Danio rerio: one gene and its partners. The protein of the gene in region 1 purifies or fractionates together with the protein of each later gene. This does not show direct contact. Links are inferred from orthologs where the notes say so. Each region holds a gene or a part of one and is shown in the gene's direction. Other genes may lie near its edges.

What was found.
Region 2: the proteins of ap2m1b (region 1) and ankrd28b purify together in Homo sapiens (affinity purification with mass spectrometry; 3 studies listed by BioGRID and IntAct, counting the BioPlex papers as one, with this or other methods). This does not show direct contact. The link is inferred for Danio rerio from reciprocal best matches to the Homo sapiens genes AP2M1 and ANKRD28.
Region 3: the proteins of ap2m1b (region 1) and cltcb purify together in Homo sapiens (affinity purification with mass spectrometry; 3 studies listed by BioGRID and IntAct, with this or other methods). This does not show direct contact. The link is inferred for Danio rerio from reciprocal best matches to the Homo sapiens genes AP2M1 and CLTC.
Region 4: the proteins of ap2m1b (region 1) and itsn1 purify together in Homo sapiens (affinity purification with mass spectrometry; 3 studies listed by BioGRID and IntAct, counting the BioPlex papers as one, with this or other methods). This does not show direct contact. The link is inferred for Danio rerio from reciprocal best matches to the Homo sapiens genes AP2M1 and ITSN1.
Region 5: the proteins of ap2m1b (region 1) and eps15 purify together in Homo sapiens (affinity purification with mass spectrometry; 4 studies listed by BioGRID and IntAct, counting the BioPlex papers as one, with this or other methods). This does not show direct contact. The link is inferred for Danio rerio from reciprocal best matches to the Homo sapiens genes AP2M1 and EPS15.
Region 6: the proteins of ap2m1b (region 1) and necap1 purify together in Homo sapiens (affinity purification with mass spectrometry; 3 studies listed by BioGRID and IntAct, counting the BioPlex papers as one, with this or other methods). This does not show direct contact. The link is inferred for Danio rerio from reciprocal best matches to the Homo sapiens genes AP2M1 and NECAP1.
Region 7: the proteins of ap2m1b (region 1) and mea1 purify together in Homo sapiens (affinity purification with mass spectrometry; 3 studies listed by BioGRID and IntAct, counting the BioPlex papers as one, with this or other methods). This does not show direct contact. The link is inferred for Danio rerio from reciprocal best matches to the Homo sapiens genes AP2M1 and MEA1.

What each region holds. Positions count from the first base shown.
Region 1 is NC_133193.1:48,960,589-48,964,088, forward strand, and holds part of ap2m1b (AP-2 complex subunit mu-B), read left to right. Parts: intron 1-968; coding exon 969-1,234; intron 1,235-1,392; exon of another isoform or gene 1,393-1,488; intron 1,489-3,500.
Region 2 is NC_133191.1:21,480,489-21,483,988, forward strand, and holds part of ankrd28b (serine/threonine-protein phosphatase 6 regulatory ankyrin repeat subunit A), read left to right. Parts: intron 1-793; coding exon 794-876; intron 877-998; coding exon 999-1,062; intron 1,063-1,817; coding exon 1,818-1,886; intron 1,887-1,978; coding exon 1,979-2,119; intron 2,120-2,740; coding exon 2,741-2,852; intron 2,853-2,943; coding exon 2,944-2,970; intron 2,971-3,500. UniProt on the Homo sapiens protein: Regulatory subunit of protein phosphatase 6 (PP6) that may be involved in the recognition of phosphoprotein substrates. Involved in the PP6-mediated dephosphorylation of NFKBIE opposing its degradation in response to TNF-alpha.
Region 3 is NC_133190.1:19,748,630-19,752,129, forward strand, and holds part of cltcb (clathrin heavy chain 1), read left to right. Parts: coding exon 1-103; intron 104-1,418; coding exon 1,419-1,611; intron 1,612-1,721; coding exon 1,722-1,879; intron 1,880-2,317; coding exon 2,318-2,482; intron 2,483-2,613; coding exon 2,614-2,721; intron 2,722-3,500. UniProt on the Homo sapiens protein: Clathrin is the major protein of the polyhedral coat of coated pits and vesicles. Two different adapter protein complexes link the clathrin lattice either to the plasma membrane or to the trans-Golgi network.
Region 4 is NC_133176.1:50,394,224-50,398,282, reverse strand, and holds the start of itsn1 (intersectin-1), read left to right. Parts: upstream 1-1,259; 5' UTR 1,260-1,435; intron 1,436-4,059. UniProt on the Homo sapiens protein: Adapter protein that provides a link between the endocytic membrane traffic and the actin assembly machinery. Acts as a guanine nucleotide exchange factor (GEF) for CDC42, and thereby stimulates actin nucleation mediated by WASL and the ARP2/3 complex.
Region 5 is NC_133183.1:18,308,567-18,312,066, reverse strand, and holds part of eps15 (epidermal growth factor receptor substrate 15), read left to right. Parts: intron 1-1,930; coding exon 1,931-2,128; intron 2,129-2,962; coding exon 2,963-3,346; intron 3,347-3,449; coding exon 3,450-3,500. UniProt on the Homo sapiens protein: Involved in cell growth regulation. May be involved in the regulation of mitogenic signals and control of cell proliferation. Involved in the internalization of ligand-inducible receptors of the receptor tyrosine kinase (RTK) type, in particular EGFR.
Region 6 is NC_133194.1:11,499,014-11,502,513, forward strand, and holds part of necap1 (adaptin ear-binding coat-associated protein 1), read left to right. Parts: intron 1-1,456; coding exon 1,457-1,538; intron 1,539-1,680; coding exon 1,681-1,789; intron 1,790-2,076; coding exon 2,077-2,215; intron 2,216-2,348; coding exon 2,349-2,442; intron 2,443-3,500. UniProt on the Homo sapiens protein: Involved in endocytosis.
Region 7 is NC_133188.1:4,157,818-4,162,037, forward strand, and holds the start of mea1 (male-enhanced antigen 1), read left to right. Parts: upstream 1-1,420; 5' UTR 1,421-1,505; intron 1,506-2,692; 5' UTR 2,693-2,699; coding exon 2,700-2,984; intron 2,985-4,220. Other genes in the region: dnph1 (5-hydroxymethyl-dUMP N-hydrolase), read right to left, coding at 1-122. UniProt on the Homo sapiens protein: May play an important role in spermatogenesis and/or testis development.

The sequences.
Region 1 (3,500 bases):
TCACTTTCGCATTTCGAGATGTTCATAATATGTGCGTGTGCAGGCGCTCACAGGCTGTTTCATGGGCACACGCAAAGCTTGAAAGTAAACAAACAACGGCTTATCATAAGCATCTCATCGATGATCATTTATACAGTTGGCATTAAGAAGAACATATAAACGTGATCTGACTAACTTCTAGCAGCTAAATGTGTCTGGGAAAATATTCAAAGGCTTTTATTCTCATAAACCGCGCGGACGTAAATGCGTCTGACTGTTCTGATTGGCTAAAGCAGACGTCTTACGTCAGCACGTTCTAGACGTGCACACGCTTATTCCGGAAATCTTCCTTCTGCGTTCACACAGCGCAGCATTCCGGCAAATTGCCGGTAATGTTACAACTTCTCTTTCCGGAAAATAGCCAGAACGAATTTACCGGTATTTTCAAAAAGGACCTGTTCACACATACAACCTTTCCGGAAAATTGCCGGCAATTTTCCGGAAAGGTCTGTATGTGTGAAAGGGGCTATTATCTCTACCGAAACATGAAGAGGGGGTGGGACATAGTGTAGCAGCTCCTCTTTAAAAAAAAAAAAAAAAACGCCAATAGTGTTTTGCTTTATCACCACCCTGCCAGTTAGAGTGGTTGAGAACAAATGTATGCAAATGTGAAGCATCTTGAAGGGGGCTGACCATGTCAGTTGCTAGAGAGCATTTGATTGGTTAAGATTTGGTGATAAACTGAAGTATGAGGGGACTTGAATAAAATCGTTGATCCATTTAGATGGAAGAGACAAACTATCATTTTTTAAAATCTTCTAAACGTATATTTTGTCACTGTTTTGGTGCGCACTAGCTTATAGATATCTTAAAAACTAATAATACTGATTCTAACATGTAACTAACACTCATTTCAAAGTAACTTTAAATATAGTTTTTTTTTTTAGACTTTTCCATATGAATCAACCTTTACAACATCCTTTCTGCAGGAGGAATGCAGTGGACGCGTTTCGCGTAAACGTGATCCACGCGCGGCAGCAGGTTCGCTCACCTGTCACCAACATCGCCCGCACCAGCTTCTTCCATGTCAAGCGCTCTAACATCTGGCTGGCTGCCGTCACCAAGCAGAATGTCAATGCTGCCATGGTCTTCGAGTTCCTCTACAAGATGTGTGATGTCATGACCGCGTATTTCGGCAAGATCAGCGAGGAGAACATCAAGAACAACTTTGTATTGATCTACGAGCTCCTAGATGGTAGGATGACTCTCTTTTCCTTAAAATAAAAACAATTATCATTGCTTCATCATTCCCACAGCAAAGAGATATTTGTTAAAGAAATAAGTTGCATAACCAGAATATTTCACAGTTGAATTTTCTCTTCGCTCATGTGGCAGTTCCAGCCTTAAGCTCTCCCACAGCTGCTGTGCTGTTGTTTTTTTAGGTTTTGATTTTTGTGAAATGTCGATGAGAAAATCAAAACCTAAAGAAAATACTGCGCAGATAGATGGACATCACCTCTGCCTTCTGAGATAGAAGAAGCTTTTTACTACAGTGTTGGAGTCCCAAAACACACACTTGCCACAAATTATCAGTAAGGGGCGTGTCATGAGACTAGATGACTAAAAGGGGCGTGTTTATTGTGTTGCTTTCAACATTGCTTGGCAAAACTCACTTAGTGGAATATTAATACACTGTTTTGACACTACAACGTAAGCTATGAAAAAAATATACAGCACTGTTTTAAACCGAAAATCTCTTGTGATACTTGTGATGTTTAATTACATGGACTGATGATCTTTTTTTTACATGACAAGTTTTGATTTACTTACACTTTTTAACGGACTGTACAGTAAGTAATAATTATAACATATTTTCTGGGCTCTATTTTAACTATCTAGGCGCAAAGTCTAAAGCGCAGGCGCAAAAGCATTAGAGGCAAGTCCAAATCCACGTTTGCTATTTTATGGACTGAAAAATACGGTTTTATGGGTGTGTTTTGAGCATAACATGCATTAAATTAATCAGAGTCGCATCTCAAATTCTCTTTAAGAGTCAGTTGCGTTGCACCATGACACATTTGCTATTTACATGGCGGACTCTGTAAGTTGAAAAACTGAACGCTTCACTATCCAAAAAAGAATTAAACAGACCATCTGCAGCCCGATGATAAAGAATGAGCCTCCTCCATTCGACCTCTTAATTTTTACTCTTTACTTTACTTCTTTACTTTCGTTGATAAGGAAACGGTGAAAACTCACTCCACTAAAGACATCCATTGGCCTACATATTTAATTTAGTTTAAGCGCAAAGATTTGTTTTAAAACCATTTCTAAGATCAGTTTTAATTTCCAGCAAAGGAATAAATGAACAACAATAATAGTGCAGTGTGGTCAAAAAAACTAAGTTATATCCAAACACACGTTCTGTGCTTGTGCCCCATATGGTGACGCAGACGTCTCCAAAACCCCACAAGTGGACAAATCTAAACTATTTTTTATTAAAACATATATAAATATGCATATAATAAATAATGCTACTACTAATAATAGAATTTTACAAATGCACCAAAGGCATGGAGGCAGTGTTTTTTATATTTATGTAGAAAGTAATATTTGTAACATTTTAATACTTAAATTCTTTTTTAGATGTAAAGATATTTGTGTATTGCTGTACATCCTGTGTGTATTAAGCGCTTGTACCTGCATAGGCCCATAACTAACACGATCTGCGCTGGACTTTAGACCAGTTTTTAGTTGGTCAATGGCACGGCCTATTTCAGTTTCTCAAAATAGCAAAGCGCCAACAATGCGCCTTAACACACCTCTTTTTTTAGACCAGCACACCCATTACTCCACAAAGTGGAGCAGATGGATTTGCAATTTAAACAACGTGCTGCAAAATGTGAAAATTACTGTTGCTCTGGTCTGAAAATAGCAACAAATCGTGCCATACACGTATTGCGCCAGCTGTATAATAGGGCCCTCTATATGAATTTCAGCTAAATGATGATTTTATAGTATTTAAAATGGTGCAATACTATTTTAAGAATTTATTGTTTTTACCATGAATTCAGAACATGAACATTTTGCAACATCATTTAATTACATATATATATATATATATATATATATATATATATATTATTTATTTATTTATTTATTTATATATATATATATATATATATATATATATATATATATATATATATATATATATATATATATATATATATATATATATTTATATATATATATATATATATATATATATATATATATATATATATATATATATATATATTAATATATATATATATTTATATATATATATATATATATATATTTATATATATATATATATATATATGGTTGAGATTTTTACTTGCCCTGCCAAAATTTTCACCGGCCCCACCAAAATAAAACTAAAAAGTTATTAGCTATTTCTTAGCCACATATTTTAAATAGTGGCAAAATTATGCCTGTGAATCAAGAATTTAAACATTTTAAATATGTTAATAAAT
Region 2 (3,500 bases), on another chromosome or scaffold:
ATTGTTAATTAAACTGCGGACACAGAATGCTTAGAATGAAATGTAAAAATGTAGGTTCACATACCCTGCTGTACAGGTGCAGTTTTATGTCAGAATGCAGTTGTTTTCTTGTTGATGATTACCCAGGCCTTGTACAGTTCCATCTTCTTTCCTTGTCTTTGGCTAGGCAGAACCTCGGTTTTTAGCACTACAAAGTTTTGAATCTTGGAGTCATGGAACATTATTTCTTGCACATAACCACATAGAACAAAATTGTAGGCATAAAAGACTTGTAGACCTTTAACATTTCTCTTGTAAAAACACTTGGAGTTTCAATAAGAGAGTTGTATATTTCGGGCTGGATGCTTGGCCATTTCGTCTTATCCAATATCCATTGGCAGGGTGCTATCTCAAATGGACCTGTCAGACGAACACAGCTCACTTTAATGTTAATCTTGCCAAGTAACTGCTTATCACTAGGTGACAAGCTGTAATAAAATGCTGAAAGTATTATGTAAATAACAAAATTATGTAATCATTATAACTTATCTCTAATACAATAACTCTGTACCACATCGGATGTCATTTTTTCGCTGTAAATGCTAGCGCTTCCGGCTTTTTTCTGCAAACTCAATATGCACATGAAACACCAATCAATAGCTCGAAACAAAAAACAGCTGCCTCCCAATAGCATTTTTGGATAAAAATGTCCAATTCCTGGCTGGGACATTGGTGCTTTTTTAGTTGTAACTGATCATATGCAGACATGTAGACCTGTAAATTTATATGTAACACTTGCTTTTTTTTTTCTTAGGAGAGGAGTTCATGGCATGTTTCCACTGCATTTGGCTGCTCTCAGCGGCTTCTCGGACTGCTGCCGTAAGCTGCTGTCTTCTGGTAAGCTGCATCACTGCTAATAGTCATTACATTTTTCGTGTACGGATTACATCTAATATTGCTGTATGGTTGTCTGCTTCATTTCTCTAAAACAGTAAACTGAGCATGTTTCTGTCCTCCAGGCTTTGATATAGACACCCCTGATGACTTTGGAAGGACCTGTTTACATGCTGCTGCTGCCGGCGGGTAAGGTTCTTTTTAATTTGATTGTTTTATTTATATATATATATATATATATATATATATATATATATATATATATATATATATATATATATATATATATATATATATATATATATAATAAAATTATATAGCCCCCTATAGGCCAATTATTAGCCCCCCAGAATTTTTTGGCTCCTTGTATGTTTTTTCCCCAATTTCTGTTTAACGGAGGGAAGATTTTTTCAACACATTTCTAAACATAATAGTTTTATTAACTCATTTCTAATAACTGATTTATTTTTTCTTTGCCATGATGACAGTAAATAATATTTTACTAGATATTTTTCAAGACACTTCTATACAGCTTAAATTGACATTTAAAGGCCTAAGTAGGTTAACTAGGCAGGTTAGAGTAATTTGGCAAGTTATTGTATAACGATGGTTTGTTCTGTAGACTAGCGAAAAAATAAATAGCTTAAAAGGGCTAGTACTTTGACCCTAAAATGGTTTTTAAAAAATTAAAGACTTTTTGCAGAAATCTTGCTTCTTGCTGAAATAAAACAAATAAGGATTTCTCCAGAAGACAAAATATTATCAGACATACTTTGAAAATTTCCTGAATCTGTTAAACATCATATGGGAAATATTTAAAAAGAAAAAAAGTCAAAAGGGGGCTTATAATTCTGACTTCAACTGTGTGCGTGCGTGCGTGCATGTGTGTGTTTTGTGTGTGTGAGAGAACTTTAACAGCTTACCAAAAACCTGTTTCCTTACAGGAACCTTGAATGTTTGAATCTTCTCCTCAACACGGGGGCAGATTTCAACAGGAAGGACAGCTTTGGAAGGTTTGTTTACTAGTACATTACTATAGCCAAACATTATTCTAACAACCTAGTGATATTTTTTACAAGGCAAACATTAACAATCTGTTCTGCAGGACACCTTTGCACTACGCAGCTGCAAACTGCAACTACCAGTGCCTGTTTGCTTTGGTGGGCTCAGGAGCCAACGTCAATGAGCTTGACAAGAGGGGCTGCACCCCCCTCCATTATGCCGCTGCTTCTGACGCCGATGGAAAGTAAGTTACCATGTTGCAAACAAGTGGAAATGGTGACATTCTAAGAAATGTATTTACTAAAGTGTTTAAGAAGTCAATTCTAGATTTTTTTTAAATTCTTCACTATTTTCCTTTATGAGTCGATTGAATCAACAGCTGATGGCACTGTAAAACTGTTAAACTAGCCTAAAGCACCACCTACTCTTAGGGCGCACTATGCTAATTGTACCTTGCCCAGGCACGTTTCCCGGATCATTCATTTGAGAAGTGTGAGTGTTCTAAATCTGGCTCAGGCACGGTGCAGTTAGCCGGCCCTGCCCTGGCTGGAAGAGTTGTACCAGAAAGCTGTTCACTTGGGCTGTGGCGCGGTACAATTTTAGTGTAATTGCAAATCGCCCCTGAGCCTGAAACTGATCACGAAATGTAACTTTTAAGGGACTGTTTCCTATGGATTGATTAATCATTACAAGCGTGCTTCGGCACGGTTCAAAAGCAACTGTACATAGTGTGAGTATACCCTTAAAAACCAAGCCCAAAATCCATTCAAGAGAACATAATGAGTCTCTCATTTTGAAAATCTCAGATTTAATTTCACAGACATGTCTTTCTAGTAGTTACCAGTCTTTCTCTTTCCCTAACTAGGTGCCTGGAATATTTGCTGAGGAATGATGCTAACCCAGGGATCCGAGACAATCAGGGCTACAATGCAGTGCATTACGCCTCTGCGTATGGACACCGTCTGTGTCTGGAGTTGGTAAGTTACTGGTGAACTTAAAACCACATAATTCGGTAATTCACATAATTTGTAAATATTTTCAGCTGATTGTTTCTTTTCTCTTCATTAGATTGCGAGTGAAACTCCGTTAGATGTGGTAAGAACTGTAATGCTTAACATAAAACTTCCTGATATATCATGGCCTTTAAGATGTTTAAGTTCTTCATTTAGGCCACAGGAGTCAAAGCCAATTTCTGGAGGGCCGCAACCCTGCACAGTTTAGTTCTAACCCTGCTTCAACACACTTACCTGTAAGTTTCAAACAAGCCTGAAGGACTCAATTAGTTTGATCAAGTGTGTTTAATTAGGGTTGGAACTAAACTGTGCAGAGCTGCGGCCCTCCAGGAACTGGCTTTGACACCTGTGATTTTAGGGGGACCAAAAGAAGTTAAGCACTTTGTAAGGCAAGCAGCTGTGCGATATTATCCCTTTATCGCATATAATCACACTGGTGTGATCAGACAAGCGTGTGTATGATCACACTAGTATGACTAGAAAGTGGAATGCAAGAGAAGATGAGCAAATTGCTTCTAATTAATAACAAGTGTTACCAGTGTTTTGTAAAAAAAAAAACAAAAAAAAACATTTATTTTAATTTTCAGACATGTACATACACATAAATACTAG
Region 3 (3,500 bases), on another chromosome or scaffold:
CTACGATGCCCCTGACATCGCTAACATCGCCATTAGCAATGAGCTCTTCGAGGAGGCTTTTGCCATCTTCAGGAAGTTTGATGTAAACACATCTGCAGTGCAGGTGCGGTTCATGTTCTCATTTTTCATACTACAGGCTTGTTGAATTGCTTGATTCTGATTTTCAGATAAAAAGTAACGTCTTGACCACAACGAACATGCTTTTTGCATTGAGAGGAGCCTTTTTTGACAGGTTTACTAGTAGCCGTGAGCATTTTAACTTCCTGCTGCGCGTTGTGTTTTGAGTGGGAAAAGTGCACTGCGTCAGTCGCGTCTTTTTCAGTCTCCAATTAAATGAAAGCAGAGGTAGGGTTTCTGTTTAGGTGACGTCATTGTTTATGTTGTCAAGAGGACTACGGAAACTTTGAATGATGGAGGAGAGACTAGTGGTGACTGTTTTAAGTTATCCAGAGCTGTGAGACTTCACAAATCTTAAATATCACAATTTTATTAAATTTTATAATACTAACAATTCCAACAGTACCACCTGTGCTCAATACACAGCTGATTCACCATTTACAAGCGACATAAAAATGCACCACACTTCTTGTCAACAAAAAAAGGCAGTGCAGTGCGCCTTGCATTCTTAGAACAGAAAAGGGTGGTATAATCGGTCCCTAAAGTAGTACTAGGCATGCCTTAACAGTACTGTAATTCTGCAATGAACACTCTGGATTTGGTATGGTAATGAATATGTATATGGCAATGTTGATGTATTTGGTTTTGGTGGTATAGATCTGCTACAATGCTGCTGCTTTGATTTCTATGGCAGAGCAAGTACAGAGACCTGCTACTACCAGTATATATACAGACATGCTGTCTGAGAATACAACATGCTGCTGCTGCAAACATAATGTTTATTTAACCTCTATAGCAGATTTAAACACAGGTGGAGCTGGGGCGGAGGAGGGTCTCCGAAAACGCACCACAGCTTAACAGCAAAAAATGACATGGAGCATTTAAACTGATCAGGAGCAAGCTCATTGGTTGCTGTCTCCTCGGTAACCATCTAGTTAATGTCACAGGAGCAGATTAGGTGACCTATCAGCCTGCGCGCGTATAGTTTCATGGAAGATATTTCACTTTCATATGACCACAACTAAACAATTTCAGCTATTTCAAATTACTTCAAAGCCTAAAATGGATATGTAAAAAATAGGCTCATACAATTTTTATCAGGTGTGGTATAATTCGAATAATTGACTCCAATTCATTGTATTATTAGAAATTAATATACACAACCACTTTGTGTGCATTATTATAATAGTTTATATGATAAACTAATATAATATAACAACTAAATATTCTATTAAATTATGTTCATGTACTGCTTGAGTTGTTTCTCTATGGGCTCAAATCATTGTGTGTGTTGACCACAGGTTCTCATCGAGCACATTGGGAATCTGGACCGGGCTTATGAGTTTGCCGAGCGCTGCAATGAGCCAGCTGTGTGGAGTCAGTTGGCTAAAGCACAACTGCAGAAGGGGCTGGTGAAAGAGGCTATTGACTCTTACATCAAAGCTGATGACCCTTCAGCCTACATGGAAGTGGGACAAGCTGCAGCCCAAAGCGGTAAGAACCAGTCCCCTGATTCACGACTATATCCACAGCATCCAAAGGTGTGGGGGGTCATAAATACAGAAAATGGTTTGGTTGTTAGCTTAATGACGTTTTGTTTTCAGGAAACTGGGAGGATTTGGTCAAGTTTTTGCAGATGGCTCGTAAGAAGGCCCGTGAATCATATGTGGAGACTGAGCTGATCTTTGCCCTGGCCAAGACTAACCGTCTAGCTGAACTGGAGGAGTTTATCAACGGGCCAAACAACGCACACATTCAACAAGTATGCGTCTCTTACTTTTGATAATGTATTTTAAAAAATTATGAGGCCAACTATAGCAAGTATCATTTTATTTTTTATTTCATTTAATATATAATCATTTAAATGAAATAAAAAAAATATATTTTTATATTTTATTTGACTTTATTAACGTTTTTTATTTTATTTTTTTGATGCTTTAATTGTTGCCTGCTTAGCCTTTTAATGATGCATATTTTTGGTTATATTTATGCTTTCATTTATGTAATTTTTTTAAATGCTTTTAAATATGTATGTGCTGTATGTATATACGTGTATATATTTATTTATTTAAAGTTTTTAAAAAAACTAAATGAAAAAATTTCTTGAAAATTAAGTAAATATTACACTAAAGGAGACTTTGAACTTATTAAATATTACAAATAAAGCATCATCTACATCTGTTTTGCTTCTTCTGTGTAGGTTGGTGACCGATGCTATGATGAGAAGATGTACGAGGCAGCTAAACTACTTTATAACAATGTATCCAACTTTGGTCGTCTGGCCTCCACTCTAGTGCATCTTGGGGAATATCAGGCAGCTGTCGATGGGGCCCGTAAAGCCAACAGCACACGGACCTGGAAAGAGGTCTGATTACACATTGATTTTACTGACAATACATGAGATGATACTTACATTTGTCCTTGCATTGCTCTCCTAATATTCTGCATGCTTGACTCAGGTTGAATATTAATAATAGAAATGTTCTCTCCTTGTAGGTTTGCTTTGCCTGTGTTGATGGGAAGGAGTTTCGCCTGGCTCAGATGTGTGGATTACATATTGTCGTTCATGCTGATGAACTTGAGGAGCTCATCAACTATTACCAGGTGAGCTAAACAATTATTTGCGTAGGCAGAGATATTAACAGGATTCTCATGATTGTGGATGATTTGAAAATATCAAGGAATGATTATAGGCATTCATAGTTATACTATTTACTGTAATAGTTTTGGATGTAATTTACTAACATAGGAGCGATAAATACTATAGGACTGCAAAGCAAGAAAACTAAAAAAAAAAAACATTATTCTGTTTAAAATCTTCCTTATTATTGAACTAAAGACAGCAAAGTTCTTTGATTAATACGCTGGAATTAGAGTATATTTCCTAGCCTTATTAACCTAGAAAATAGCTACTTTAATTTTTTTTAGTCTTTGTACATGATGCAACAATAGAAGACCCAAGTTTTAAACAGAAAAATGATGCTAATGATCTAATCCGATTTATGCTAAGCTAAGCTAAAAGCGCTCTCGCCAGAGTCTGAAATCGGCAAAATGGATAAAAAAATATTATACTCAACTGTTTAACTTTAGTAGAGATTTAAAATGAGACTATTTAGAAAAAAAAGTGGAGTGTTTTTTTTTATAATGACATAATATCAATGTGACTATGATTAGTCACATGTTGTAATTCTTATATCATATACATGTTATATTAGTTAGCTAAACAGTATCTTCAAAATCTAAAAAGCAAAAACCCATACATGTTTTTTTTACGTAAATGACACATTTATTAAATTAGATAGTTCACCAAAAATGAAAATTGTCATCCTTTACTTATTCTTAACTTGTTCCAAACCTGTTTGAGTTTCTGTCTTCTGTTGAAA
Region 4 (4,059 bases), on another chromosome or scaffold:
ATTAACACGCACACCTGGGGGAAACATTTGTAATAATTATTTTTGTAGTATAATTTCTATGCAAGAAAAAAAAATTCACAGAATAACTTATGTAATAATCATTTATTATTTTATCTTAGGCTTAGCTAGTCCCTTATTAATCAGGGGTCGCCATAGCGGAATGAACCGCCAGCTATTCTGGCATATGAATTTTATGCAGCAGATGCCCTTCTAGCCGCAACCCATTACTGGGATTAGTTGGTGGTTCATTCTGCTGTGGCGACCTCTGAATAATAAAGGAACTAAGCCAAAAAGAAAATTAATGAATTATAGGACTTTGTGACCTGGACGCCCTTCAAAATTGTTTTACAATTTACACATTAGATTGTTGAAATTAATAAAAAAAAACTTAACATCATTAGAAATTTAGAAGCTCCAGTAATTTTAATATTCCTGTGTTTTGCTTTTACTTCAGTTTTTAAATAAATGACAAATTAAAATAAAATAAAACTTAAATCTTGATGTAAGCCATTTTATCTTATAGTGAACCTGATTTTTTCTTACTTTAGAAAATCATCTGGAAATTTACTGAGGCCTTTAGTGGGCCCCAAACACAAAAGAAGATATTCTGAAGAAAGCTGGAAACTGGTAACCGTTGACTTCCATAGTACTTGTTTGTTTTTTTATACTATGGAACTCAATGGTTACCGAATTTCAGCATTCTTCAAAATATCTTGTTTTAAGTTCAGCAAAAAATAAAATAAAATAATAATAATAAAATAAATAAAAAGGGTTTAGAACCAAGTGAAGGCAAGAAAATAATGAGTAAATGTTTATTTTTGGCCAAACTATCCCTTTAAGATTCTACTGTATGCAGTAAACAGAAGCGCTATCGGGTTATTATGCATTTTGACAACCTTTCTAAGGATATCTTTTAAATTTGTTTTTGTTCTTTTTTTTCTCTTTTTGTTTATTGCTAATGCCACATTTATTTATTTATTTATTTATCTTGTTTTCACGTTTTAGGTATTATTATTTTTGTATTAATTACATTTTTATTAATTATTATTATTATCTTGTAAAAGATATAAAAGTGCTATTATTTGCATTATTTTTTATTAATTATTATATTTTTATGAATTATTATTATTATTTTCTTGTAAGAGATATATAAGTGCTATGGGTTAATTTGGGCCGCAGAGCGCCCTCTATGTGCAGTAAACAGGCAGACTCGGACGCCCCAATGACGTCCGCACGTTTCATTTTCCCCCTTTTACTTCACTACTAGCGAAGCTGCACAGAGGAAACGAGGAGCCACACAAGCAGCAGCCAAATAACGCCTGGAATTTACCTCGAGCGTCAAAAAAGGACAGAAGAGCCTCCGCCTGTCACCTCATGCCCCTTTAGTTGATTCCCTCGCAGAGTGCTGGAGTCATAATGGAAACTGAATGATGAGGTAAGAAGACTGTTTTTGAGCTCAGGCCGATTGTCCTTTTTATGACAGTGACTGCGGGAGGAGGAGGAGGAGGAATCTGTAGGATTTCAGGGCGCGCTTCGTCTCCATACACTAGCATATGCTCTGCAACGGTCACTCCAACGGTCATTTCCATTCAGAAACCGCATCAATAAGTACAATAGTCATTTATTCATAAAAACAGGCCTCTGTAAGCTCCCCTTCTCCACGCCGAGATTGCAGCTAACGTTAAACCTCTGCTCTGATTTACTGGTTTAGTTAGCAGTCTTGCTAACGGCTGCTGGTATGTTTTTATCAGTGACAGCAGCTCAAAAACTGCACCTCTGTGGTAAAACACATGGATATAGTGGATTATTAGGACCTCGAGAGGGCTGAGGACATGTGTGTTACATGTAGGATGTAGAAAGAGTGAGTTTGGTCAGTGAAGACCACCAGCTCATCTTCTCACATGGCTGCAGGTCTCATCTGTAGCACTTGCATATGGAGATGCTCAAGTGTGCATGATGATGACGACTCCATCTTTTCTCCAGTGCACATGTGTGTTTGTGTGTATGCATACTAGCCAGGAGAAACATGGGTTATTATCCTGTGATTATGTCTGGTGATTAAGGCTCAGATCCTGTAGTGCAGTCTGGCAGTGGATTTGGGTGCTTTGTCTTTAAGCCACAGTCCTGTATAGTATGTAAACACTGTCAGATTGGAGGGTGGTTTACGAGATCTTATGAGCTGTGCAGCTGGAGACTTTCCCTCAGGTCAGGCTGGTCTTAAACCTGTTCAGCTCCTGGTTTATACACGCGTTCCTTGATCACAGGACTTAAGCGGTAGACTTGAAATGTGACCTCACAAACTGATCTAAGGTTAGATTTTTGGTTGCTAGGATGTACCCGGGTATTCAAATATGACAGGCCCAAGTGCTGTAGAAGTGCAACCAACGTTGATCAAAATTTTAAGCACTATTGAAGAATGTTTTGTGTTTGTAATTGTGTTTAAAGTTTTTATAATATTCAAATGTAAATCTAACATTGTTAATATTAAAATGAAATATGTCTAAACATTACCCAGACTGTCATAGTCACTCTAATGTAAATGAGAAAGCATATCTGCATATTATTATCAGGCTTTTATTGAGGCATGCCAATTTATATTTGTAGATGTATGAATTCATTTACAAATATCAATTGACAGGCCTCCAAAAAGGAAACTTATTTATTAGAGTCTTCAAACAACCAATGAAATAAATAACATTTGGCAGAATAATGGAATTTTATTAGAGGGCCTGAAATTTTTTCTATGCAACCGCAAAATATATTTGGGAGCATTTGTGCGAGTGCATAAAATTGTTATCGTGCTACCAGTTTTCACAGCAAAAAAACACCAAACGCAGCGCTCGGGAATGGTTTAAAATAGTTGACATGTCAACTTGCTGCAGGAAACAAAGCCCCCATTGCTTGTCCCACCTTCAAGCTCTTCTTATTGGCCCACTGCGTTAGAACATAAGGCGATTAGATTGGTTAACATCAGCTCTTAATTACTCAGTTTCGATGACATCGAGATCCAGCCGCGAAAATGTAAAGGTCTGGATACGAGAGAATGAAAACAACACTGACAGATGTGGTTTTAGAAACCACCTAAAGTTACAAATAATGGCACATCTGATTAGTGATCATGTAATGAATGTCAATCCAGCATTTACACTTTTCGACGAGTGGATAAAAGACTTCCAGTGGTTAAAGTCCGCTATGAAAATGACTAAAGCATTCACTGTAGAGCCGGTGGGACTGAGTTTTCAGGGAACAGTCATAATTTGACTCACAATTTTTGGTGGGTGCAACTAAATTTTGTCTGATGGGCCTACATTTTTGAAGTTAGGAGTACCGGTGCTACCAAGGAAAAAGGTTAATTTCGAGCCCTGTATTGGTTGATTTGCTTTTTGAAGTTATTTAAGTAGGGGTTTAAAAGGCAGAAAGTAACTATGTGTCTGTAATGTGGAAATGTCAGTTTGAGGATTTTGGAAATATAAATTGCATTTTTATAAAATCTATTTTCACTGAATCAAATCTAGAATAAGATTAAGAATGGAATGAGATCAAAATAGGAGATTGGGAATCAGAATTGAATCAAATTGGTACATTTAAATTGATACCAAGCTCTACTTTAAATATAGAACACACAACTACTCCACTTTCCTGCAAACAGTGCAAATTACAAAAACTTATGATGATGATGATGATAATCAAAATCAAGTCTTGATTTGACCATAAACAAACATCACACATTTCAGGGTAAGACATGTCAGACGAGAGGTAGCGTTGAAGAGTAAATAAGATACATTTTGGAAAAGGATATTATACATCATATTACATGCACAGGCATAATAATTGCCAAACTCTTAATAATTTTAACAAAACGAGAGGAATTCTTATAAAAATTGCATGTTTTATTTGATACTGTGCTGAATAATCCATTTTATGTAACGAATGTTAACATCTTTGATACTCTTTTAGGTGAAACTGCATATTCAGGATGGTTCTAAATAAAAACAGGCATGTAGTTTATATAAGACCTCTTATTTATGTTTAACTTAAATTCTGCATATGATATGGAAA
Region 5 (3,500 bases), on another chromosome or scaffold:
AGTGTTGTGTAAGCATTATCTAAATAAGTATTACATTGATATAAAAATAAATGTAAACTAATGCCATTTACCACATATACTTAGACTTTACATGAAACATTAGGTCCTGGTCTTAAGTGTCCTGGAAAAGTCCTGGAATTTTAGTCGTAAAAATGTGTTTCAACCCTAAAAGCCAAAAAGGACTTCTTGTAAATTAGTTGTTGCTGTAATATTTTGTGTTAATATTAAACTGTTTATTACATTAAATTGTATATTGTAATTTATGTAATAATTAATTCAAACTAATTTGCTGATTGTTTCACAACAAATTGGACAAAATTATTTAGAGCAAACTTTATATATGGAACCTGTTTACAAGGCGGTGATGCTTTTACTCGTCATCAGCATCTTTATTCCTTCAAAGATTTTAATACGTTAATTTTTTTAAATGTATTTTTAATAAAATGCATTTACATTTATAAAGCTATAATTTGTATTATATAATCCGTGGATCAGATTACCACTTATGCTGGGTGTTTGTAATGCAGCGTCAATGGGCAGGACAGTAAATTAAACATAGTGTTTTTTTCCTGATTGCCATTACCAATCTCACACAATTTTTCTTTTTTATTGTTGGGAAAATTGTTAAAACACCATTGTGGATTTTTATGATTATTATTATTATTATTATTATTATTTAATCAAATAGAAATACAAAAAATTGTGGTACTTTCCCATTCATTGTGCTCTAAGTTTGCCCAGCTGTGACAATTTTCGCTTCTGAGATACCCGGAAATATAAAAAAGGGTTTCTAAATAACTAATAGTTTTAAATAACTACTATTTTAAGTAGTTATTTATATAACTACTATATTAAGATGTATAAGCAATAATGCCTATCCGAGTAGCTGGTAAGCTGGGGTCACTTGGAGTTCCAAATATACCTATTAAGAAACAGGGCAATAATGTCTCCCCTAGGGCCTCATTGATGGATTTAAAAATCAATGTCCAATAATTTTTTAAAGAAGGGCAAGACCAAAGCATAAGTGTCAAATCAGCTGGAGAAAACAAACATCTATCACAAGACGCATCTAATCCAGGTTACATTCCTGCCAACCGTGCCTTGCTTAAATGTAACACTTTAACACTTTATAAGCCCGAACCTAACAGAGGATGATGATGCATGAACATTTCTGAGTGCCTCCTCCAAAAAAAGTCTCTGATAATTTTAAGTTCGTCTTTCCATCTAGATTTAATTTTATCCACATTATATTCTTTCAGAGATATGAGTTTAGCGTATAATGTGGAGATCAATCCTTTATTAAAAAAATTAAGAGTAAGATTATAGAGTTATTAAAACTATTAAAACCGGTTTTCATCTTCACTGGCAAAAATATGACATAAAATCATAATAACAAATGTTTTTGTGTTACTTTACTTAATTTAACAAGTTAATCAGGTCTCAACTAAATTTGTTTAGCATACAAAACGTAATTAATGTAATGTCATTAGTCAATCTGACCAATTTAAGTTGAGATGACTAGAAAAGTAAGGGCATTCGCCACATAAAGCATATGCCAGAGTAATTGGTGGTTCATTCCGTAGTGGCAACACCTAATAAATTAAGGGCTAAGCTGAAGGAGAGTGACTAGAAATGTTCAATTGATTCAACTAAAGATTTAAGTGTATGTAGGCATTGCAATGCGCACTTTTGCATGCTGTTTTGAATGCGTTTTAGACTTTCTGATCCTAATCTCCCATGCAGTTTTGCATTACATTTTCATATGTAAATTTGTATACCAAAGGAAAAAAAAGAGTACTATTTCACTTTTGTTTCACAATTTTCACTCGAATGGATAAAAATGAGCACTCAATGTAGTTCACTGAGTATACTGATCTCAGATCTGCTTTCTGCTTTTTCCCCACTTGTCTGTGTTTGTGTGCGTGTTCAGATCCAGTCGTTGCAGGTGCAGCACTCTGAGCAGGAGCAGAGAATCAGTGACTATGAGGAGGAGTTGACCAGAGCCAGAGAAGAGCTGCTCCATCTGCAGGAGGAGACGCGTCAGCTGGGAGAGAAGGTTCAGTCTGCTCGAGCTCAACTCTGCCCTCTAGAGGATGCCGTCAAAGAATCCCACACGCAGATTGTTCAGGTTTGTCAGCTTTTGATCCGTTTCTTAGTTTTCGGTATTTGTTAACAGTAGCGGTTCTAGTTTAAATGGCACCCTGGGCGAACCTCCAGTTTTTAACTGGAAAACAATTTAGACACAACTGGAGTGATATACCAAGATAACTTAACGGTAAACTCTTTTAAAGGTAACTCTTTTGCATTTTTGTTGTCATTTTTTTTATTTGTGTTACATTTCTTGACACTGATTTAATTTATATATATATATATATATATATATATATATACATATATACATTTATTTATTTTACCCTCAGTTTAATGTGTATTTATTTTGTATATTATTATTATTATTAAAGATCTATTAAATAATAAAATTATGGATTATCATAGGAGGAAGAAAGTAGAAAACATTATTATTACACCATGGTCTTTGTTTTCAGTTTTCTATACTACTACTACTACTACTACTACTAATAATAATAATAATAATAATAATAGTGGTACCTGTTGTTATTTTTGTTATTAATATTATTATTGTTGTTGTTAATAATAATAATAATAATATAACACGATTATTAGAGAAACCCAAAAAAGAAATTCCAGTCCATGATGAAAATGTTTACTATTATTATAGTCAGACCTTGATGTCAGTCTAAAAATTTCTCTAATAATATTAATAATAATTGTGTTGTTGTTATTGTTATTATAAAAAAAACATGCCATCCTCCTATTTCTGCTTTTTAATTATTTGCAACTGGGTTTGGTCTGATTTTTATTCCCATTCCTAAAAGCACACACTACTTGTCTCGCTTTAATGTCTGTTTCACATAATATATTGCTTTTTGTTCCCTCATAGGAACAGGAGCGTTTGTCTGAGCTTAAAATGGAGGAGAGAGAGGTGACTGCACGGCTTACTTGGAAAATCCTGGAGGAGCCGGTACTAGTCAACGGAGCGGCGCCCTCCATTGAGCATCCAGAGCCATTGCAGTGGCCTCAACCTACAGCACAGCCACCAGAGACAACCAAAGAAGACAAAGTGCAGGATGAAGAGGAGCAGTCATCCACAGATGAGCCACAAGAGCTTAAGGTCACAGAGGAGGAGCCTGGGTCTGAGGCCGAGGAGCCGTCCAGCAGCCCAGAGCAACAGGAGAGCAAACCTGAACTCTACAGCTATGATCTTTACAACAGTGCCTTCTCCACCATCAGCTCCACCTCTGTCAACTGGCCTCAGGGGAACACGGTCAGAAACCGCTTCCTGTTATTGCATAATTAGTATGTCACTTGCGCATTACTTAACAAATAGGTTCTCATACATCGGTCTGTTTATGCCTCTCTTGTTATAGGAAAACACAACACAAGAGGCAGAGGTGGATGAGGAGAGGGAAAACACAGAA
Region 6 (3,500 bases), on another chromosome or scaffold:
GGATGGTCAACAGTGTATTTACAAATGTAATTACAAAAGTTAATTACATAAGTAATTACATACATGTATTTAATAAAGCATAAGTACACAGTAAATACAAGTATTTACACAATAAGTACATTGTAACAAACATATTATTTCATATTTCATATTGTTACTAATTAATTCCTGTGTAAGTACATATCAGTTAAGACCACTTAATATAAAGTGAGACCCATTGTCATTATCTCAGAGAATGTTTTCATCCTAATCAATATATTAATATTTTAAAAAAATGTTCTAAAATATGTTTTTATTTGAGTAAAATATTTTTTTAAAATTGCTATATTTACTGTTATTTATTACATGTTTTTTAAACAATTTGTGCTATAATTGTAAGCTATGCCTTTGAATTATTTTGTAATCATAATGAATAAATTTATGATTAAAATATTATTTATAAATGCTGTATTTACTGTTATTTAATGCACATTTGCTTGTTTGTTTTAAACAAAAATGTTAAATAAATGTAAACAATGCATTTTAATTGTGTTGTAATCACAGTGTGCCTTCTGACTTTTGATTTTGCAGTTAATAAAGTCATTGCTTCTGATATGGCATTATGTACACTACCTGACAAAAGTGTTGTTGCCTATTCAAGTTTTTAGGAACAACAAATTGTAACTCGACTTCTAGTTGATCATTTGGTGTCAGAAGTGGCTTATATAAAAGGCAAAGGCCTCTAGATTACACTTATTTTACCAAAATAAAATATGAACATGTCTTGATTTTCAATTATTTATTTAGGACAGTAAGGTCTGACTTTGCGTAGTCAAAATTCTTGTCACTTACTGCAACAGAAATAATGTACAGTATATAATATAAAGTCATGGTGCAGTTGAAGAAGAATTAATATTGTGTATGACTCCCATGAGCTTTGAGGACTGCATCCATACATCTTTGCAATGACTCAAATAACTTATTAATAAAGTCATTTGGAACGACGAAGAAAGCTTTCTTGCAGGAAAGGGTAAAGTATGAGAGAGCGCTATCCTGCTGAAGAATTTGCCCTCTCCTGTGGTTTGTAATGTAATGGGCAGCAAAAATGTTTTGATACAGTACCTCAGGCTGTTGCCATCCACTCTGCAGATCTTTCGAATGCCCCCATATTGAATGTAACCCTAAACCATGATTTTTCCTTCACCAAACTTGACTGATTTCTGTGAGAATCTTTGGTTCACGTGTGTTCCAATAGGTCTTTTGCAGTATTTGTGATGATTGGAGTACAGTTCAACAGATGATTCATTGCAAAAATTGACCTTCTGCCACTTTTCCAAATGATCAACTACATATCAAGTTATTATTTGTTGATCTTACAACTGGGATCAGCAACAAAACTTTTGTCCGACAGTGGAAATAAATAAATCAATTTATATTACAGTTTAGATGTTCATTATCTCTTCTTCCTGTGTATTAGGTCGGAGTGCGTTCATTGGTGTTGGATTTGCAGACAGAGGTGATGCTTTTGACTTCAATGTTGCCCTGCAGGATCATTTCAAGTGAGATTCTTTCAAAAAGCATGCACGCATTCATAATTGGAAATGATTTTGTACTTGTAGTAACACCTTAAATGGTTAAAAAGCTATTTTATCATGTCCAGTTTTTGATTCTGTTGAAATATTTTGATATTTTCATATTAAGGTGGGTGAAACAGGAGAATGAAATCAGCAAAAATTCTCAGGCTGCAGACTCAGGACCCAAACTGGACTTAGGCTTTAAAGAAGGACAGACCATCACACTGAATATCGGGGTAAAACAAAACGGCTAAAAATTCCTTTTTACAATCATGTTATTATTTTAATGCCCACATATTAGAGAACAGGTTTCAAACTCAATTCCTGGAGCGATGCAGCTCTGTATAGTTTTGCTCCAACCATAATCAAACACAGCTGATCCAACTAATCAAGTTGTTCAAGACTTATAGAGACTATTAAGCAGGTGTGAGTTGGAGGTGGTTGGAGCTAAACTATGCAGAGCTGTGGCCCTCCAGGAACTGAGTTTGAGACCACTGTATTAGAGAAATGTTTCTGTGTGCAGCAAGGTAAAAAGAGGGACAAGCCCCGCCCCCAGAGCTCAGGAGGCCTGGGGCTCCTCCCTCCACCTCCAGGAGGAAAGATTGCCCCGCCTCCTTTGTCTAATCACAACACAGTCCAGCCAACAGGAGGAGCACAGACAGGTTAGACCTCATCACTGCTTGTAGATGAATATATTGATGCGTTTTCACAGATTAGTCTTGCAAGTTGCAACTAGATGTTGATATCTTAATTGATCTTTTTTTGTCTGATCTCACTTTCTCTCCCTAATTTTAGCATGTTTATTAGAACTGGACAGCAGTAATTCTAATACGGTGGTTCAGTCCAACCCCAGCTCTGACCTATGGGGAGACTTCTCTAGCTCTGCAAGGTAACATCATTACTGTTGTTGATTCTTCACCAGTGAATATGTTCCTTTATTCAGAAGTTTATTTGCTAATAACTAAACAATTTCTTAAAATTAAGATTTTTAAGATTTTAAGAAAACAACATTTTTTTTCAATATTGTATCTTAATGTCTGTATTGCAAGATATAACGAATTGGGTTTTTATTTCATTCTGAGTTTATATCTTGCAAATTCTGTCTCTAAACTCATATTTTTTTGGTAATAGAATATTTTAACCCTTGTGTGCTGTTGGGGATGTTTTCATCCACTCTGGGGTGATTTTGAGTATAAATTTAGCCACATCTTTCTCTGTTTCTCAGAAAATGGAATGATTTTTGATTGACAAATCTTATTTTGACACGTTTTGGGAAAATGCTTGGGAAATGTTATTGTATGTGTATTGTTAAAAGACTCAACAATACACTATGGGCAAATCTAATAACTTTTTTTATATGTTAGTGGCTGTTTTTGCCCCATTGAATTCCTCTATGTGAAGTTTATTCATAAACTAATTTCGAGAGGATCACGTGCTTATGTTTGACACGGCTGGCTCCGAGTCTAGCTAATGTACGAACCACCAATCAGACTATTCCTAACCCAGTATAAATAACCAAACATCTTACCTTTAGTCATCTTCGGCTTGAAGAATCCCCCCTTCCACCCCTTCTCCTCCTCTTTTCTACAGAGCAGCACGCCGGCCCAGTGGCTAGCACTGCGGCCTCACAGCAAAAAATGTGGGGTGGTTCTCGAGATCTACCCGAGCTCAAACTCCCCTCTCCCCCTGCAGCGGGGAGGGAGCTCCGGGCTCGAGGCTCTCATGAGCTCGGGGCTCTCTCCGGGGACCGCATGCCAAACTAGCTTATTACTAATCATCAGTTAAGTGTGAACTCTTGAAAACACCAAATAATCATGCATTCTTGATTGTTGGTGGTTTTAAATATTGAAAGGAGGTACGACTTGTTATTTTTACAGTTGATTATCAGTTGCAGTGCAAAAAAAGCTTAGTTTATGGCTTTTATGAAGTGTTTGTTTGTGTTTGTGT
Region 7 (4,220 bases), on another chromosome or scaffold:
CTGTCATAACTCACATGCTCGGTTAAAACATTGCCATACTGCTGCAACTTCTTCACTATTGTCTGATAAATAACCACGTCCTGTCGCCCTCCCCGAATGCTTCCGCAAAAGTATATGTTCATAATTTGCAGGAGTCCTCGTCTTTCTTCTGTGATACAAGCGTGCTTTTCTCAGCAGCACAGCATTCACGGGAAGTTCAGATAAACTGCAGGTCATTTCCCGCGCAAACACGCATATGTACACAGACACACGAAGAAAAGCGCCACCGTGCGGCCGCTTGTATATTACAACACTTCATGACGTTAGAATTTATTAAAAAATAATTACTCCTCTTCGTAAATCTCTTTAACTAGAGAAGGAAAAAAACATAAAAAGAAAACATAATTAAAATGTATTGTTTATTTTAGGTTATTTATGTCTTAGTTTGTCAAATGTACAAAAATATACACAGAAAAAGGGAAAATAACACAAAACGACTGTTTAAATGTAGAAAAAATTAAACAAATGACGGCTACATAACAACAATTGCTTCATTCAACATTACATTCATTTATTTGTTCGTTCATTAGCTCACTGTAAGAATCACATCAATCACAACAACAATAATACGCCACGTGCACATAGAAATAAAGCTATATTAAATTAAAATACATTTATTATGCAGTTATTTTTCTATTTCCTGAGAAAGCTTTTATAATCATTGCTAGTTACTTATTCATATATGCCCTCTATTACTATACAATATATAGACGGAATATTAACTATTTAATAAAAAAAATCACCTAAAAGATGTATTCATGACTTATTTTACTGCAGAACAAAGTGCATACAGTATATAACCTGTTTTAACACATTTTATTCTGTTTTTAATTATTTCTATTGTTTGTTTTTTATTAAACTTGTCTTTTTTATGCTTGTTTATGTAAAGCACTTTGAATTGCCACTGTGTATGAAATGTGCTATATAATTAAACTTGCCTTGTCTTGCCTTACAGTAATAAAGCTTTCTGATATCATGAATATAAAAATATAATTTTTTTTAAAGTAACACTTTACATTGACAGTACATGAATGATGCAATAATGTAAACTAAACATTACTTTATTATGAACTAATGATGAGTTAATGAATGTGCTACTCATGAACTAACTTTAACTACAACCTGAGTTCATGTGTGAATAATGACTACCTTAATTACAAGTACATGCTTGTTTGGTAATTAATGCATCAGTTTGTGCCTAATTAAACCATCATAAACTCATGATATGTTAATGCATAATTATATGCATTATATATTGCACATTCACATGAGGTAGTCACAATTTTAAACAAACTGTCAAAAAGCATAAAAAAATCGAGTATTTTAATTTACGCAAGATACGTCGCTTGGCGTGTTGACGTTTCGTGACGCAATCACTGCGCAACACCGGAAACAAATAGATTCTTCTCGGATACAGATGCATCAGCTGAAAACAAACGAATAAAAGAGCTCGAAAGAATCAAGAGGTAAGAGGAAACAGCCAGAGATTATCTTATAGTTTGCTTTTAATTGTATTCGTAATGCTAAAAAGACGCATTCGTGTGTCAAAACCCTGAAATGATATGAAATGTGTTTAGGCTAGCATGATGTTATAGCATAAGCATACCTTAACAGGTTGATGTTAAATTGCACATGCACACTTTTTCCTAACACCTCAGTGTTTTAACATCTACCAGTACATTTCCTAAAATATTAATTTAATATAATTGTTAAAACTAAAACGTTTAATGCGCGAAAACATCAGAGCAACCAACATTTCTGTCAAACGTTACTGTAATTAACGCTAACTACTGCAGAGTCCACAGATAAAGTGTATAACAGCGCATTAAGTCTTTTCTCCTTCATAGAAGTCTATTGAAAATAGCTTCAAGTTGGTTTTATATTCGCTTATTCAGACTTTTTCCTTTCAGAAAAGTATTTTTTTGCTAAATCTAAATATGGTAATCATATTAACGTTAGCAGCCAATGACTATCAACTACAATATGGACTACAGAATGTTACGTTTACACACAACCACAAATTACATGTAAACACATCAGCTTTTCACAGCGTAATGCTCACTACTCATATGAACTTTTGAAAGGGCTACTTTTTACTCATACTTTGAGTAATATTTACAACATCTACTTTTACTCAACTCTCACTACATTTTTAGGCAAGTAATGGTACTTTTACTTATGATTTTTCAGTACTCTTTCCACCACTGCTGGTTGTTGAGTTAACTCGAGCCACATTAAAGTGAGAGTTCACTCAAAAATGAAACTTGACTCATTGTTTACTCTTCCTCAAGTGGCTCTCCAACCTTTAAGACTCTCTATTTTCTCTTAACCACAGAAGAAGTTACTTTGAAAACTGTTAGAAACCTGTAACCAGACTTCCATAGTAGGAAAAACAAATACTAAGTCAATGGCCACAGGTTTTCAGCATTTTTCTAAATATCTTCTTTTATGTTCAACAGAAGAAACTCATGAAACTACTATATAAGAATCATTACTAATAGCCATTCTTTATAGATCACTGGATGTTATACACTTTGTGAATTAGCGGCTAGTTTTTTGATAATAATTACAAGCTTTGAAAGTTTGGTCGATGTTAAGCACATTAAACTACGATAAGAATTTTCTTATGTCTCAATATTGTGTCTGTTCGCAGCCCTTGAATGGAAGTGGCGAGGGCCCGAGAAATGGGTCCCGAGAGAATCTTACCGAACTCCGAGGAGGATGTGGTGCAGGACCGGCCTTTAGACGCTGCCGTGCCGGAGGAGTGGAGCGGAGAGGACATGGAGGAGGAGGAGGATGAAGGAGGTGCTGGAGATCAGGACAGCGCTGGATATTATTATCAGCCTCTGAATCAAGACCCAGACGGGGTGAACGGCTCGCACACAGAGCCAGCCGATGAGGGCACCACTGCAGAACAGCTGCAGGACGTCCAGGAGAGAATAGAGGTATTACTGCTGATCTGTGGAAGCAGAATTCATCTTGAAATGTCAGATGCAATATATTAAGAGTATTTAAATGAGCAAGACGTGCAGAATAAATATTTCAGTCATGTCATTTACACTTGCTATTTCCAAACACAGTTTGGTAAAGCACCTGTTATTTTTAATGCTACACAAATTGCATAATTAAATGAAAAATGTAATGGCAAATTGAATTACTGTGCGCAAGCAGAAATGGTAGCAATTGAAAATGTATATTTTAAAAACATCTTAATCATGAGTGTCATTGCAACCAATATACATTTAACTCACCGTCTTTTTGCCATCCCATTGGCTCTGAATGCATTTTAAAATATACATCGAAATAAAGATACACAATGAAAACATTCCAGATCCAACGGTGTAATGATGAACATTCGATCCTACTCCTTCTAAACTATAATTTTGATACCATTTCTTCTAGTATGCTACATTTTTCTTTTTAATTTTGCAACTTAAGCATTAAAATTAACTATAAACTCACCGGCCACTTTATTAGGTACACCTGTCAAACTGCTCATTAATGCACATTTCTAATCAGCCAATCACAGGGCAGCAACTCAATGCATTTATGCAAGTAGACATGCTCAAGATGATCTGCTGCAGTTCAAACCGAGCATCAGAATGGGGAAGAAAGGTGATTTAAGTGACTTTGAATGTGGCATGGTTGTTGGTGCCAGACGGGCTGCTCGGAGTATTTCAGAAACTGCTGATCTACCTTTGGCTCAGAATGCATTTCGAAATGTATTGATTTTGGCTGCAAAAGTTCCATGGTGTAAAGCTGCGGCCACACTTGACTTTTCTCCCCATAGACTTCCTTTCATACACACGCGAATGCGTCAGACCGGAAATACAGGGTCATGCGTCAAGTTTCGCAGTTCGCTGAGGTGCAAAGTTCAAGCTTGGTGAACTCTGATTTGCGAAATCGCATCACTTGACTGCGTGAGACCAATCAAGGATCAAAACATGACCTCTCTGGACAGAAATTTAAAACATGGAGCAATCATTCGCTTTTTTTTAAGGTCTAATCATCTTGTTTAATCCCGCCTCTTGTCGCAGCGACGTACAACAGAATTTTACACACAAACTCTAGTGTGACCACAGCTTAATGATGAAAATGCAACCTTCTAACCCTAAACTAATTTGCTACCATTTCTGCTTGTACGTCACACATATTAGTTCAGTTAGGCAATACATTTTAAA